Stegostoma tigrinum: one gene and its partner. The protein of the gene in region 1 interacts with the protein of each later gene in a pairwise test. Links are inferred from orthologs where the notes say so. Each region holds a gene or a part of one and is shown on either strand. Other genes may lie near its edges.

What was found.
Region 2: the proteins of RNA-binding protein FXR1-like (region 1) and paics interact in binary tests that used the Homo sapiens proteins (3 or more experiments, as listed by UniProt). The link is inferred for Stegostoma tigrinum from reciprocal best matches to the Homo sapiens genes FXR2 and PAICS.

What each region holds. Positions count from the first base shown.
Region 1 is NC_081398.1:2,575,738-2,583,459, reverse strand, and holds the start of RNA-binding protein FXR1-like, read left to right. Parts: upstream 1-4,622; 5' UTR 4,623-4,763; coding exon 4,764-4,814; intron 4,815-7,722. UniProt on the Homo sapiens protein: mRNA-binding protein that acts as a regulator of mRNAs translation and/or stability, and which is required for adult hippocampal neurogenesis. Specifically binds to AU-rich elements (AREs) in the 3'-UTR of target mRNAs.
Region 2 is NC_081354.1:109,761,643-109,769,021, reverse strand, and holds the start of paics (multifunctional protein ADE2), read right to left. Parts: upstream 3,018-7,379; 5' UTR 3,002-3,017; exon of another isoform or gene 2,864-3,001; intron 2,648-2,863; 5' UTR 2,533-2,647; exon of another isoform or gene 2,515-2,532; intron 2,259-2,514; 5' UTR 2,233-2,258; coding exon 2,217-2,232; intron 1,853-2,216; coding exon 1,655-1,852; intron 1,576-1,654; coding exon 1,397-1,575; intron 1-1,396. Other genes in the region: ppat (amidophosphoribosyltransferase), read left to right, coding at 3,033-3,160. UniProt on the Homo sapiens protein: Bifunctional phosphoribosylaminoimidazole carboxylase and phosphoribosylaminoimidazole succinocarboxamide synthetase catalyzing two reactions of the de novo purine biosynthetic pathway.

The DNA.
Region 1 (7,722 bases):
TTTTGGTTCTGACCCTCCAGGGAGAGGCAAGAAACATCTTGCAGACACCCACGGCTGAGCAGCTTGTGATAGAAGCTACAGAGGAGGTGGGTAGGGAGGGATAGACTGAGATGGGAGTGGTTTTGTCCAAGAGAGGGGAGGCAGTGGGGCAGGGGAATTGATTCCTGGCTCTGTGTGGTTCGTTCAGGTGCAACATGGTACCCCAAGATTTTGCTGACTTTTCCTGCTGGCCGAACCCAGAGGACCGGATGTGTTTGTCGCTGTAAACATGAGATACAAACACTTTTGACAAGCCAGCTGAAGAGAAGTTCTGGTTTTGAGTGGATGACTTGGGAAATGAAACTGAAAGCCAATAATCACCCTGCGAGTTTAAATGTGATTAATTTTTTAAAAAATTCTCAGGAGTGTTTCAACTGGAAAACAAGTTGGGAGTTTTTTTGAGCCATCAATATTTTAATCAATGGTTATTTGTATATTTTTCCCTTATTTAGGAGGAATTAACCATAATTGCCCCATTGGTAAGTGATGACTGACTAGAGTGGTCAGCTTTTACATTACTGTCCAAGGGACAGCACTGAGTGAGCATCGCACTGTCGGAGGGTCAGTGCTGAGGGAGTGGGCACTGTCAGAGGGTCAGTGCTGAGGGAGTGGGCACTGTCAGAGGGTCAGTGCTGAGGGAGTGGGCACTGTCGGAGGGTCAGTGCTGAGGGAGTGGGCACTGTCAGAGGGTCAGTGCTGAGGGAGTGGGCACTGTCAGAGGGTCAGTGCTGAGGGTGTGGGCACTGTCGGAGGGTCAGTGCTGTGGGAGCGGGCACTGTCGGAGAGTCAGCGCTGAGGGAGTGGGCACTGTTGGAGGGTCAGTGCTGAGGGAGCACCGCACTGTCGGAGGGTCAGCGCTGAGGGAGTGGGCACTGTTGGAGGGTCAGTGCTGAGGGAGCACCGCACTGTCGGAGGGTCAGCGCTGAGGGAGCACCGCACTGTCGGAGGGTCAGCGCTGAGGGAGCACCGCACTGTCGGAGGGTCAGCGCTGAGGGAGCGGGCACTGTTGGAAGTCCTTAATCGCTGGAAATCCTGGCTTTGGAGGTGACTGTGTGGGACTTGAGCTGATGGTTACCTACCATCCTTCTCTGGACTTGGTTTCAGTTTTACAAACTGAGGGAATCAAAAGAAACAGAAACAGAAACTGAATACGTCCAGTAAAAGCACTTTCTTGCTCAGTTGAAGTTCTTGGGAACCTGATAAATTTCCCACACCTCAGTATTTGGACTAACTTACCAATCCAAATGAAGCCTTATTTTGCGCATCTTCCACTAGACTTTACAATTTGATTTTGTTGATTTAAAAAAAATAGAATTTGATGTAATCTCATTGTCCATTGTTTCAGAATGTATTGATCCCAGAGGAGGAGGAGGAAGGTCAGGGTTGATTTTGAAATAAGTTCTTGTCTTGCTGCTTCTGATACAAATGAGATGAAATTTGGTATTGCTTTCGATGGCTGCTGCACCAGACCAATTGGTGGTACCCTATCCTTGGCTACAATCTCTCTCTCCCTCCTGCTTTGCATGGCTCTCGAGATAAGCCAACTGGACTGAGAGAAAAAATAGGGTTAGGGTTAGGGTTAGGATGCTGCTTGGCCTGCTGTGTTCATCCAGCTTCACACTTTGTTATCCATGAGAGAAAAAATATTTTTCTTTGGGCAGAGAGATAGGAAGCACCGATGCAAGGTGATTAGAGTCATAAAGCTGTATAGCATGGAAACAGACTGTACAGTCCACCCCGTCCATGCTGACCAAACATCCCAAATTAATCCAGAGATAACAAAGTGCGGAGCTGGAGGAACATAGCAGGAGCCAAAAAGTTAGCTTTCCAGCTGCTCTGATGCTGCCTGGCCTGCTGTGTTCCTTCAGCTTCGCACTTTGTTATCTGACTCTAACATCTGCAGTTCTTGCTATATCTCTATATAAATCTAGTCCCATTCATCAGCATTTGACCCAAATCCTTCTAACCTCTTCTTATTCGTAAATCCCATCCAGATGATTTTTAAATACTGTAATTGTAACACCCTGCATCACTTCCTCTGGCACCATACATGCACCACCCTTTTTTACACTTTCCCCTCTCACTTTAAATCTCTGGCCCTCTAGTTTTGGATTCTTCCCCCTGGGGGAAAAACCCTTGGCTAGTCACCTAAGCTATGCCGCTCATGATTTTATAAACCTCTGCAAGGTTACCCCTCAGCCTCCAATGCTCCAGGGAAAATAGTGATCAGAGATAATGGGAACTGCAGATGCTAGACAATCCAAGATAATGAAATGTGAGGCTGGATGAACACAGCAGGCCAAGCAGCATCTTAGGAGCACAAAAGCTGAAGTTTTGAACCTGGACCCTTCATCAGAGAGGGGGATGGGGAGAGGATTCTAAAATAAATAGGGAGAGAGGGGGAGGCAGACCGAAGATGGATAGAGGAGAAGAAAAACTGCTCAATGTCTAGACGTGACTGGTATTCGTTGATGTGTGGGTGAAGGGGGACAAAGGTGAGCCCCTTGCTGAGGACTGACCGTTCGTCTTCCGTCACTCCCCATCCCCCTTTTCTGATGAAGGGTCTAGGCCCGAAATGTCAGCTTTTGTGCTCCTAAGATGCTGATTGGCCTGCTGTGTTCATCCAGCTCCACACCTTGTTATCTCCAGGGAAAACAGTCTATTCACCCTCTCCTTGTAGCTCAAGCCCTCCAGTTCCAGCAACATGCTTGTGTATATTTTCTGAAGCCTTTCAAGATTAGTGGCAGAATCGGAGGTGAAATGAGGAAAACTCATTTAGAGGATTTGGGCACAGCCGTGGAGGCCAACATTCATTGCCCGTCCCTTGGACGAAAGAGTCAACCACATTAAAGTGAGCCTGGAGTCACATGTAGGCTAGGCTGAGTTAAGACAGGGCAGATGGATAGTAGTGAACCCGGTGTGGCATCCTCTACATTGGGGAAAACCAAGCGGAGGCTTGGGGACCGCTTTGCAGAACACCTCCGCTCGGTTCGCAACAAACAACTGCACCTCCCAGTCGCGAACCATTTCCACTCCCCCTCCCATTCTTTAGATGACATGTCCATCATGGGCCTCCTGCACTGCCACAATGATGCCACCCGAAGGTTGCAGGAACAGCAACTCATATTCCGCTTGGGAACCCTGCAGCCCAATGGTATCAATGTGGACTTCACCAGCTTCAAAATCTCCCCTTCCCCCACCGCATCCCAAAACCAGCCCAGTTCGTCCCCTCCCCCCACTGCATCCCAAAACCAGCCCAGCTCTTCCCCCCCACCCACTGCATCCCAAAACCAGTCCAACCTGTCTCTGCCTCCCTAACCGGTTCTTCCTCTCACCCATCCCTTCCTCCCACCCCAAGCCGCACCCCCAGCTACCTACTAACCTCATCCCACCTCCTTGACCTGTCCGTCTTCCCTGGACTGACCTATCCCCTCCCTACCTCCCCACCTACACTCTCTCCACCTATCTTCTTTACTCTCCATCTTCGGTCCGCCTCCCCCTCTCTCCCTATTTATTCCAGTTCCCTCTCCCCATCCCCCTCTCTGATGAAGGGTCTAGGCCTGAAACGTCAGCTTTTGTGCTCCTGAGATGCTGCTGGGCCTGCTGTGTTCATCCAGCCTCACATTTTATTATCTGTAGTAGTGAACTGCAGTTGGGATCTGGAATGTCACAGCCTGAGAGGCAGGAACCGGATAACTATCCGAAGAGGGAGGATTTGCAGAATAAAGGTGGGAGAGTAGCTCAAGCCAAGTTGCTCAGGTAGCGGAGGGCATGGAAGCGACGGGCCAAATCGTTGCGACCAATCGCTGAGGCGGCCCCCGGTAACTGCGGAACCCATGAGTGTGTACTGCAGGCGAAGCCGATCTCCGAAGAGCAAAGAAAATTAAATAGACCCGCTCCAGATCAGACGGTGCCATTCATAAATCCGGTTAACTGCGGGAAGTGGGGGAGGGAGAATGACGTGCTGACAGACCAATCGCAGCCCGATATACAGACGTATGGTGGCGGATTGGCTATTGGCTTTTGGCTTGGCCCTGTGTCCAATCGTAAAGTGACAGGGTGGGTCAATCAGTTTGAATGTCGGGCAGACAGTCCAATCGGGAATGGCCATGGGCGGCGGCTCCGCGCGACGGGAACCGTTAACCGTGATTGACAGCGCGGCAGCCCATTCAGAGTGTAGAAAATGGCACGGAGTCGCCGCAGGTGACGGCCGCCATCCAGTCAGCGTCGAGAGGAGGCGGATCTGGCGGTTGTCGCGCGCCTCCCTCACTCAGGAACAAACATCCACCCTGTTCGGTCCGCACCAACGGACTTTCCAGGAATCCTACCAGCGGCCAATGGGTGAGCGGGGGCGAGCGTATCGTCCAATCGGTGAGCCGTTATCTGGAGTGGGCGGGGGTTCGCGTTTGATCGATGGGCGCAGCGAGCAATGGAAGTGGAGACAGCGCATGATGGAAGGTGCACTGTGGCCAATGGGCGTGACGGAAAGCGCACGTTGGTGAGGGATTGGGCCGGTGGGCGACCAATGAGCGACGGGCGGGCGGGGTTGCGCGAGGTGGTGTTGTGGGGGGCGGGGCGGTTTTTTTTAATAACCGGAGCCGAGCGGCCGGGAGGGTTTTTTTTTTCCTCCCTCGTCCGTCGCCGTCCCGTCGGTGATTGCTCCCCCCGCTCCCAACCCCCTTCCCGAGCCCGGCCGGCTGGCTGGAAGGAAGGTGGGCAGCACCATGGACGGGCTGGCCGTGGAAGTGCGCGGCTCGAACGGCGCTTTTTACAAGGTGAGGGGAGCGGCCGGCGGATCGGAGCCCCAGCGCCGAGAGAGAGAGCGAGCCAACTCCAGACGCAGGCTGCGGCCTAGTGTCTGAGGGCCGGGCCCAAGATGAGCCTGTCGCCTTCAGGCCGGAAAGGGGGGAGGGGGGGGTGGCCGAATGGGGGACGAGAACCAATGTGCCCTTAGCCTCTGTCCGCGCCCCCCCACCCCTCTCTATCCCTTCACTCTTCACCCCTTCCCACCCCTTCCCTCTTCTTCCTTCCTTACTTCCCCACCACCCCCAAAATCTGCCTCCATCTCCCTCTCTTTCCCACCCCCCCCCCCCCCCATCACAGCCCTTCCCCTTCCAGCAATCTGACTCCTTCACACCCACCCCACACACACCCCCCACCCCCCCGGACCGATCTCCCTCCTTCACCACCCCCAGCCCCCCTCTCTTTTCTCTTTCTCCTCCCCGCCCCCCCACCCACCCCAATTCTGAACTCCCTCCTTCACCCTTCTCTCCCCCTCTCCCCCCCCCCCCCCGGACCAATTTCTCCCCCTCTCCCCCCCCCCCCGGACCAATTTCTCCCCCTCCCCCTCCCCCCCCCCCCGGACCAATTTCTCCCCCCCCCCCCCCCGGACCAATTTCTCCCCCCCCCCCCCCCCCCCGGACCAATTTCTCCCCCCCCCCCCCCCGGACCAATTTCTCCCCCCCCGGACCAATTTCTCCCCCCCCCCCCCCCGGACCAATTTCTCTCTCTCTCTTCCCCCCCCCCCCCCCTCCCCGGACCAATCTCCCTACTCCACCTCATCACCCCCACCCACCCCCCCACTGCCCCTCCGGACCAATATTCCTCCTGCACCCCACCAACCCCCCCCCCCCCCCCCCAAACCCCGGACCAATTTCTCTCCTTCACCCCCGTCCCCAGGACCGATCTCTGTCCTTCACCACCCCCATTCTCCTCTCTCCTCCCTCTTTCCCCCCCCCCCCCCCCCCCCCCCAGGAGCAATCTCCCTCCTCCTCTCCCCTTCACCCATCCCACCACCCCGGACCAATCAGGTGGCCCTGAATTATATGAAGCTTTGTGTTGGATCTGCACCATCCATGAAAGTGGGAGTATTCTGTATCTTGTGGTGCGGATTTGGGAATCGGGAGACTGGAATGGTTGGGTTGGCTTTGTCCTGTTTGTTTTCGAGATAGGATATACTGGGTGCTTTTTGACACCTACCTGATTAAAGTTACTGTTGCTCTAGCACAGCTTGGCTAGAGGTTCTACCAGTTCTGTACTTTAGTATTGCAGATGGAAGTCAAGCCCTCTAATCTTTACTGAGTCCAGTGCGTTCAGATATTTCTTGATACCATGTGTGAATTGAATGAACTGAAGTCTGGCATCTGTAATGTTCGGAGATTGATGGATCTTACAAATGTTGCAAGCAGGAGGTGGCTATTTGGTGCTTTGAGCCTTCTTTGATCTTGTCAATAAGATCATGACTCATCTGCCTTTTTCAGATTCCACATTCCATGTACTTTGATAATGCTTGATTCTCCCACCTAACAAGAATCTGTCTCAAAGATATTTTAGTGACCTTGCCACCACCTCGGGCAGACTTACAATATCATACAACACTGGGTTTCTCCTCTTCAATGTCTTAAAAGTTTGACCCCTAGTTGTTACAGATCTGTCATCTTGAGTTGCAGCAGTCTGAGGTACAGGAATACATAGTGCTGTAAGGGTAACCAGGAATTCTGACCCAGCTGCACTGCAAGAATACAATATATTTCCGAGCCAGGATGGTGTGAAGCTTGAAGTGGGGTGTTTCCTTCTGTCTGGCTTCCCTCATCCTTGATAGACAACCTATAACCGTACTAAGGAGCTTTGGTGGATAGTACACTATTATGCATTGGTGGTGGAGGGTGTGGATGTGGTGTCAATCAAGCAGGTGCTTTGTCCTGGATGCTGTCAAGCTTGTATTGTTGTTGCTGCACCCATCTAGTAAGTGGGAAGTATTCCATCACCCTCCATAGAGTCTTGTGCCTTTAGAAGATAGTGGATAGGCTTTGGAGATTCGGAGGTAATTTACTTCCAAGACGCGCAGCCTTGACTTGCTCTTGTAGCCACCGTTTGGTGCTAGTGTTCAATTTCTGGTCAGTGGTAACCCCCAGTGCATTATGAGGGATTTGGCAATGGCAATGCCATTACACTTCAAAGGAAAGTGAGATTTGCTTTTGTTTTGAGATAGTGATTGCTTGGTATGTGTGGTGTGAATGTTATTTGACACTTGTCAGCCGGAGTTTGGATATTGTCCAGCTCTTGCTGCATTTGCGCATGGACTGTTTCAGCATCTGAGGAGCTGTGAATGGTGTTGAACATTGTGCAATCGTCAGCAAATACCCCCATATCTCATCTTGGGATTTGTGGAAGGTTGTTGAAGCAATTGAAGGTGGTTGGTCCTCAGACTGTACTGAGGAATTCTTTGCTCTTGTTTGTGCAGTTGATGGAGGCTAATTGCAACGTGATTGAGTAGGAACTGGAAAAATTAGATTGGAGTGGCTGTTTGAGGGTAAGTTCATATCTGACACACATCTGATCAACTTGGAATGTTCCTGTCGGGATGAAAGATAGGATGGCATGATCCTGAGATGTTGCACGACAAGCCATTGAAGTTAGTCGAAAGAGAAAAAGAAGTATATGTAAGGCTGAGGAAACAAATCCGACAAGCCCTTGAGAATAAAGGAGGCAGAAAATCTTAGAAAAGATACTAGGAGGGCTAGCATAGACCAAGGGAAATGTCTTTGGCAAATGGGACTAAGGAGAATCCCAAGGTATTTTATACATAGAAGCATGAGGGTAGCTCAGGAAAAGGTAGCTCTACACAAGGATAAAAGTGGGAATTTGTTGAACTAAAGGAAATGAGCTCCTTAATGCATACTT
Region 2 (7,379 bases), on another chromosome or scaffold:
TTGGAAAGTTTGCACATTTGATTTTGTGATGGAGGGAAGGTCACTGCTGGGAGTAACCAAAGATGGTTAGGGCTGGGACACCAGAGGAAACAACTTCTGCAGTGAAGTCTTTAAACTCACACAACCCCAACCATCCTCCTTTGTGCTAGATATGTCTCCCATATCAAAAGATGCTAATCTTCAGCCATTAGAAGGCAGCTGAGGCTTCCCCATCATTGAGAATGGGGACATTTAGGGAGCTTGTTAGTCATTTAACTGCTCAGAATCATTTGAGGGGGGAATTGGCAGGAATGCTAGCTGACACTTGATCAGTTTGTTGCAAAGAAAAAGCTGTTTACTCCAGTCTGCTTCATATGCAACTAGCCTTGTGTTGCAGCTCCAGATTAAAAATCTTTTTCTTTCATAAGGACACGCACGCACACACCACTGAGCCAGGTTGAATGAAAATGGTAGGATACAGGTACATTGTGGTCATGAGGTTACAGACTGTATTCCACCACAATTCTCCTGATGGGCTCACGTGTGCTCAGTATGAAGTTGCCCAAGTGTTCCAAGTTCCCTTTTAGGGTTCTAAAAGGAAAGGTCACCAGCTCTGAAACATTAACTTTGCTGTTTTCTTCAGATGCTGCCTGACTCTCAGCTTTTCCAGCACCTTCTGTTTTTGTTCCTTTTAGCACACAGTGTTGGTATCATACAACATGTTGGACAGTATCCTCAAACACGATGACAGGACTTTGTCTCAGATGACATTTTGATGTCACTCAAAAATACCATTATGGATTGATACATGACAAAATTAACATTTAATGAGGAAGTTAAAAATAGTTTTCTTCCCCTTCATTGGTTCATTAAGCTGCAGACTTGCCAATCTTGCCCTTGAATATGACAGCTCCCAACCAAAATACATTTTCTGCCCTTACCACCCTCATTAGTTCTTTCAAAGTGTTCAAAATTGAGGAACACAGACTGAGCCAGGGGCTCCACAATGCTGGTCATCCTAACATTTTCCAAATCAGTGTTTGTCCAGATGCCATGAGACTTCAAGTTCACTGCCAATATTCAGATTCCAAAAAGGCAACTCTCTTTCTCTTCTTCACCGCACCGCTCCCCCCCCCCCCCCCCAACTCTGCATCATTGTGCAACCACCTGAAGAGTTTGTCATGTTAGTGGACAGGATGAAGCCCAAAGCGGTGGTTCTTGACCCACTGTATGTAATATGGCAGACAGAGTTTTGACACAAGACCCCAGCTGAAAAAGTACAGAAGCTGAAATGATTAGTGATTTCAAAGGGATATTAAAGATGGATGGAAAAGCAAAGTTTTGTTTACACAACTAGAAAATGGTTATTAACACCTCAACCACATCAAAACTAATAGCAGCAAACATGTTACACTACCTTAAAGAACATCTCCATCTTTGGAGGACAGAACTTGTATCCTTCCTTTACACCAGGATTTCTTTTCAGAAAAGAGCCTGTGGCAATTCTTCTACAAACCCACTCAATAGGAATCATTTCACAGTTTGCTGCCACAAATGCTGTTTCCCCATATTGTTTCTCAAACGCAGTTTTGATGCCTTAAAAAGAAAAAAGCATGAACACAAATATTACAGAAGATGCACATATCCTGCCCGATGTCAGTAGCAGAAGTCTTACCAGCATCCTGCAGCAGTTTGAAGATAGAAACAGTGGTTTTAGTAGATATCGCAGCCTTGCCCACCATCTGGTCTTTCCTGACTGCATTTCCAGCCGTAATCTGGTCCTTGGACTGAATCAGAACTTGCCCGGGACAATCCAACAGTTCGTATACTTCCTTGGTTTTTCCTTCATTTAGTTTTTTTCCAATTTTCAGCTCTTCGGAAAATAAAAGGATTATTTAAAACGTGAAATCATTCACTTTTAAAGCCACTGAACATTTTTAAATTGTTGACTGGTTTAAAACCAGAAAAAAAAGCAATTTTTTAAAAGAAAAAAAATCACAAGGCTGAATGTCATAACATGTTACTGAGGTTCAACAAAAGAAATTCATCTCGGAAGCACTGACAGATGAATAGCAACAATACAATTCCAACCGAGGGTGTACTGGTCGTTTTCTTTCATGCGGTACAGTTTCGAAACTGTCTCTTTGCGAGATTTTAGCACCGTAAATACTGTGGTAGAGCCGTCAAGTAAAAGCGGTCGCGGTTAATCCAAGAGGGAGCTTGGAAATTTTACTTACCTCCAAACTTCTCCATCTTGGGAAAACTTTGCAAATCTACAACTTTAAAACAAAAAAAGTATTTAAATTCTTTAAAGAAGAAAAACATAACACACAACAGGCCGCAATGTGCTTTCCACGGAATGCACGCCAAGCCTCCCTCTCCACCAACCCCGGGGTACACCTCAATGATGCCTTTCCCCAGCGAGAGTTTGCCCACCCTCCACAGATACCCCACTTCCTCCTCTACCCCGCACACGTCCGCTACTGTCTCCATATTTCGCTACCCCGAGGACCTCATAGCTATGTACCCACACACCAGGCCAGAATCTCCTACCGTAGGCCCCTCTCACGATCTCGTGCTTCTAACAGCCGCGCGTTCGGTTTTAGAACGTTCCGAAATTTGAATGAGATGTACCAAGACGAGAGGGATAAGGGGGGTGGTGAAGAGTCTGCAATGAAAGGAACACGTTTGCATAAAGAAGGGACGGCGTATATATATAAATATATATGTATGTATTATACATATTACAAATTGATCATCAGTTTCTAACGTTCACATATGATAAGTTCTAAAAACAACGAAAAATTATTTACATGCATTTATCTAATTAATTTGCACACCCTCAACGTTTTGGAGAGGTCCGTGACATGTGGGGGTGGTGGCGGGTTTAGTGAGGCACGTGTTGACTCCTGGGAGCTAGGGAGAAAAAGAATACGAGCTAGATAATGAGGAGCGGGGAGTGAGTGTATTACTTTGAAATAGTTAGCCTGGTAGTGGGTGGGCTGGGGTTTTGTTCACTCACTTTTCGTTGGGGTAGTTAGTGTGGAACTGGCATGGAGTTTGAAGAATCGGGGATCCGGGAGGAGTGTGGCGTGTTTGGCTGTGTCGCTGCTGGCGAGTGGCCGACTCACTTGGACGTGCCCCACGTTATCGCCCTCGGATTGGTGGCACTGCAGCACAGGTAACACAGATAGCAGGATTTCGTGCTACAGCCGAGGCAGAACAGATTTCATACACAAATACAGAAACATTATGATAACTGAAGTTCTGCTGCAGTTGTTGGTTCTGCTATTACTTATAGTAGAACGTAGAGTAGTTTCATCTTAGTCTAGGGTAATAGGTCGGCACAACATCGTGGGCTATCGTGGGCATTGTTCTATGTTCTTATGGGCGCGGAAGGCACTAAACTGGGCAGAGAAAAGTGCTGTATTGACTTAATATTTTCTAAGCACATTGTTTAACAATGCAGAAATGCTGTAAGGAGGTAGAGATTTAAAAATGATACTGGAAACCTTTTAGTAGTTTCCCTTAAAACCCTAACACTATCACAGCTTCTGTGGAGTTCTGTGTCTGCCATCCAAAACCTTACTTTATGATACTATTTATGTTGAATTTTTTTAAAAATTGTTTATTCTCCAGGGGAAAATAAAGCTCTCCCAACAAATTAGTATAATTACTCTCGAATGGAAATGTTTAGCCAAAGTACTCAAACTGAAGTGACAAATTTCATCAATCTTTACATATTTGTCAGTACGTTCGTTTTATTCAGTTTTGAGTCCTAAAAAAACATATTCAGGAGTTACTTATCTGTATTGTGTGAAGTTGTATGAAAAAGAAGTGAATGAAATGTCGATGACAAGTTATTAGAGTTCTGTATTTGGATGAGATGTGTATTTTTAACTAATTTTTGTAATTCTCCAGAATAATGTTCTTACCAAATAAAAAGTGAAAAAAAAACAAAAACAAGTTGCTGGAAACTATCAGCAGGTCTGGCACCATCTGTTGAGACATCTGATCATTTCTGACCATATCTTCTGCTGAAATCCCCTAACCATTCCAGAACTACAGAATGTATAGCTCCTAAGTTCATTCAGCCCAACTGGTTACTGCATTCTAGTCTTAATGTTGCTTACAAACTCCCTCCTATGTCCCCACAACTAGTTCTAACCCTTTCAATATATCACAAACTTATATTTAAGTTAAATTGATCCTTACTGTTTTCATCAATTACTTTAGTAAATTCCATACTCCTGACCACTCCCAGGTTTCTGCTGCCTTTCTATGTAATTCTGTTCTGAAAATAAGCTGACTAGAATATGTGTCTTAACAGGCACAGATTTGATCAAGTTGGCATTGTGCAGAATCTTAAATATCCAAACTGCATGAACAATTCAAAAAATGGTCCTCGCACAAATTACTTTTAATTGCCTAATGCAAGAAATTCATTTTCTAGCTGTCTTTGAAAACTCAAATGTAGCATACCACTAATTAAAATAACTTATTTAAATCCGATGTTGATTTTTATTTTACTTTTTTCTAAGCTCACTGTAAAATCACTGGGCATTTGGAAGGCTATCAATGTCAATGCAGTTGTGACAAATGTTGGCTAGCAATTATGCTTGGCCTGTGTTCCAGAGTGCATCACATGTAATATATGCTACAGAAGGTACACTGTTTTAAAATTTATTGATAGAATAAAACAACACTGACTCCCATCTGATGCTTAGTTTACAATATATGGGATACTTATTAAAAGGCTCCTTTGCAAGGTTCCTCTAGTAAACACTTTACACATTATATGCAATAGAAAAGCAGTATCATCAGCAGTAAGGACTTTGTTAACTTAAAAATTTGGGAAAGAGACTTTTTATTTATTGATTTATGGGATCTGTGCATCACTGGCTCTGCCAGCACTTTTTGCCCAACCCTAACTGCCCTTGAACTGTTTGGCTTGCTAGCCAATTTCACCGAACACTTAAAAGTTATGGCTATGGAGTCTCGTGTAAGCTAGAATGGGTGATGATGGCAGATTCCCATCTCTAAAGGATGCTAATGAGTCAGATGGGTATTTATGACAAACAATGATTGTTACATAATTGCAATTAGACTAATTTTTGATTTTTGTAATCAAATTTGAATTTTGGCACCTGCCACGGTGGAATTCAAATGCATAGTCTCAGAACCTGAGTCTAGTGACTCTGGATTGCTAGTCCAGTTACATATATTACGTGGCCATTATCAACCTGGATAAAATGGTTGGAGTATTATATGGGATCCTTGGGGAATCAACACCTGGAAAGGATTTTTTTATAAAAATCAAAAGATCTGCAGATGCTATAAATCGGAGACAAAAATAAAAACCGCCGGAAAACCTCAGCAGGTTTGGCAGCATCTGTGGAGAGAAATCAGTTAATGTTTTGGGTCGAGTGACCCTTCCTCAGATGGATTCTTTATGTTTAGCTAATTATAATTTTGAAACATCCATGGTGCCATTCTCTTTCCTGAAATCCATTTGAAAGCTTTAAAAACTTCTGAAAAACAGCTATAATCTCAAGAACATTTATAAAACATTTTGGTTCAGAGAACTGAAAAAGCAGCTTCAAACACAGAGTCTTCAGTTATATTGGGCAATTGGAACTTCACTTGCTTTCAACTCATATGTTTCACTAATGAGTTTAATTTTGCCTGGTAATCCTATGATGGAGATATTTTAAGTTCAGAAATCCTGATGAATTACAATTCATTTCACATTACCATTTAATAATGATTTGACTTACTTGCGGTGATCAGGTTACTTGCAGGTAACCAAATGTTCCTACATTCAATTTGATGTGGGCTAGTAGGTTGGGGTTATGTGTTACAGTTTAATAATTTTAATTTTCTGCCACTCTTTGAGGGAATTAGGTTTGCCCCTTATATGCCTACATGTTGACTGGGTTACTTTGGAAGGATGTGTTGTCGACGTAGGAAAACTGATTTAGATTTTTAAAAATCATACAAACATATGTTAATTGAATGCAGCTTTAAGAGCAATGATTTACTTAATAATGATAATAAAGTGTGAAGCTGGATGAACACAGCAGGCCAAGCAGCATCTCAGGAGCACAAAAACTGACGTTTCGGGCCTCGACCCGTCATCAGAGAGAGGATCTCTCTGATGACGGGTCGAGGTCCGAAACGTCAGCTTTTGTGCTCCTGAGATGCTGCTTGGCTTGCTGTGTTCATCCAGCTTCACACTTTGTTATCTTGGATTCTCCAGCATCTGCAGTTCGCATTATCACATTTATTTAATAATGCCAGTTTTTAAAAACTCCAATATGTGCATTCTGAAAACAGCTTGTTGGAACTTTTTTCTATAAATTCATAACTCAGGATGTGGAATTGGTGTATAAAATCAGAATCTCCAAGATTTTTTAAAATCTAATTTATACTGTACATCTGTAAACTAGATGTTGTGTCTAGTGTGAATTTATAACATCACACCATTTAGAGGAGCAGTATTCCCAAAGGGGTGTGCTTTTGAGGTGCAATACCAATTTAACTGTTAAACTTTTTATAATCAAGTATCCACTAAATTAAAAAAAATTAAAAGCGACAAGGTGTGAGTAAAACATCAAAAAGCCATAAAGCTGTAATTTTTTTTCAGCACTGTCGTTAGAAACAAGTAAGTCCAGCAAATTAAGTTATTCAAATATTTTCTTCCTCATGCTTTTGGCAGGAACTATCCTTCAATTTTAGAAAATGATTACAGATTTTTTTCCATGACTGCTGGAGCATCATTTGGAACCAATTTGAGAATTAGCTTAGTGGAACACTCTCCTTTGAGGCAGTGGCTGTGAGCTGAAGCACCACTCTGTAGAACAGGTTTGAACAGACAATCAAGGCTGATATTTCATCACTGCATTGAGGGTACAGTATGAAGTATTATCTTGTGTTATCATTCCTATGGGGTATTGAACTTACAGCTGGATGAGAAGTGGAGGGGGGAGCTGGCTCACATCTGTTCACCCTTCTCATAACCACAACAGAGATATTGGTTCTCTTTACTGCCAGGTTAAAACTTTCTCCAATAAAGTTGCATTTAATTACTTTTTACTTTATGCAGTAAGGAGAAAATCAGAAGATTTTCTTGAGTTAAAGGAAGAAAATGTATTACTTCCAAAACCGGAGAAGAACAGCAATGGCAAGGCCTTAAGTACTTGGCCTGTGTGCAGTCAATTGGACACTCCCACCGTAGAAAGCCAAATGGGATGCTGTCAAGTACAAAGAAAGATGGAAGAATATGTCATTTAGAGTCCATTGGTTGGCTTTGAGCTATAAGGTTTAAACCTCAAGCTGAGGTTGGTTATCTTTTGATACATCAGAAATAATAATATTGTGTTTATTTGAAAGTTCTCTGT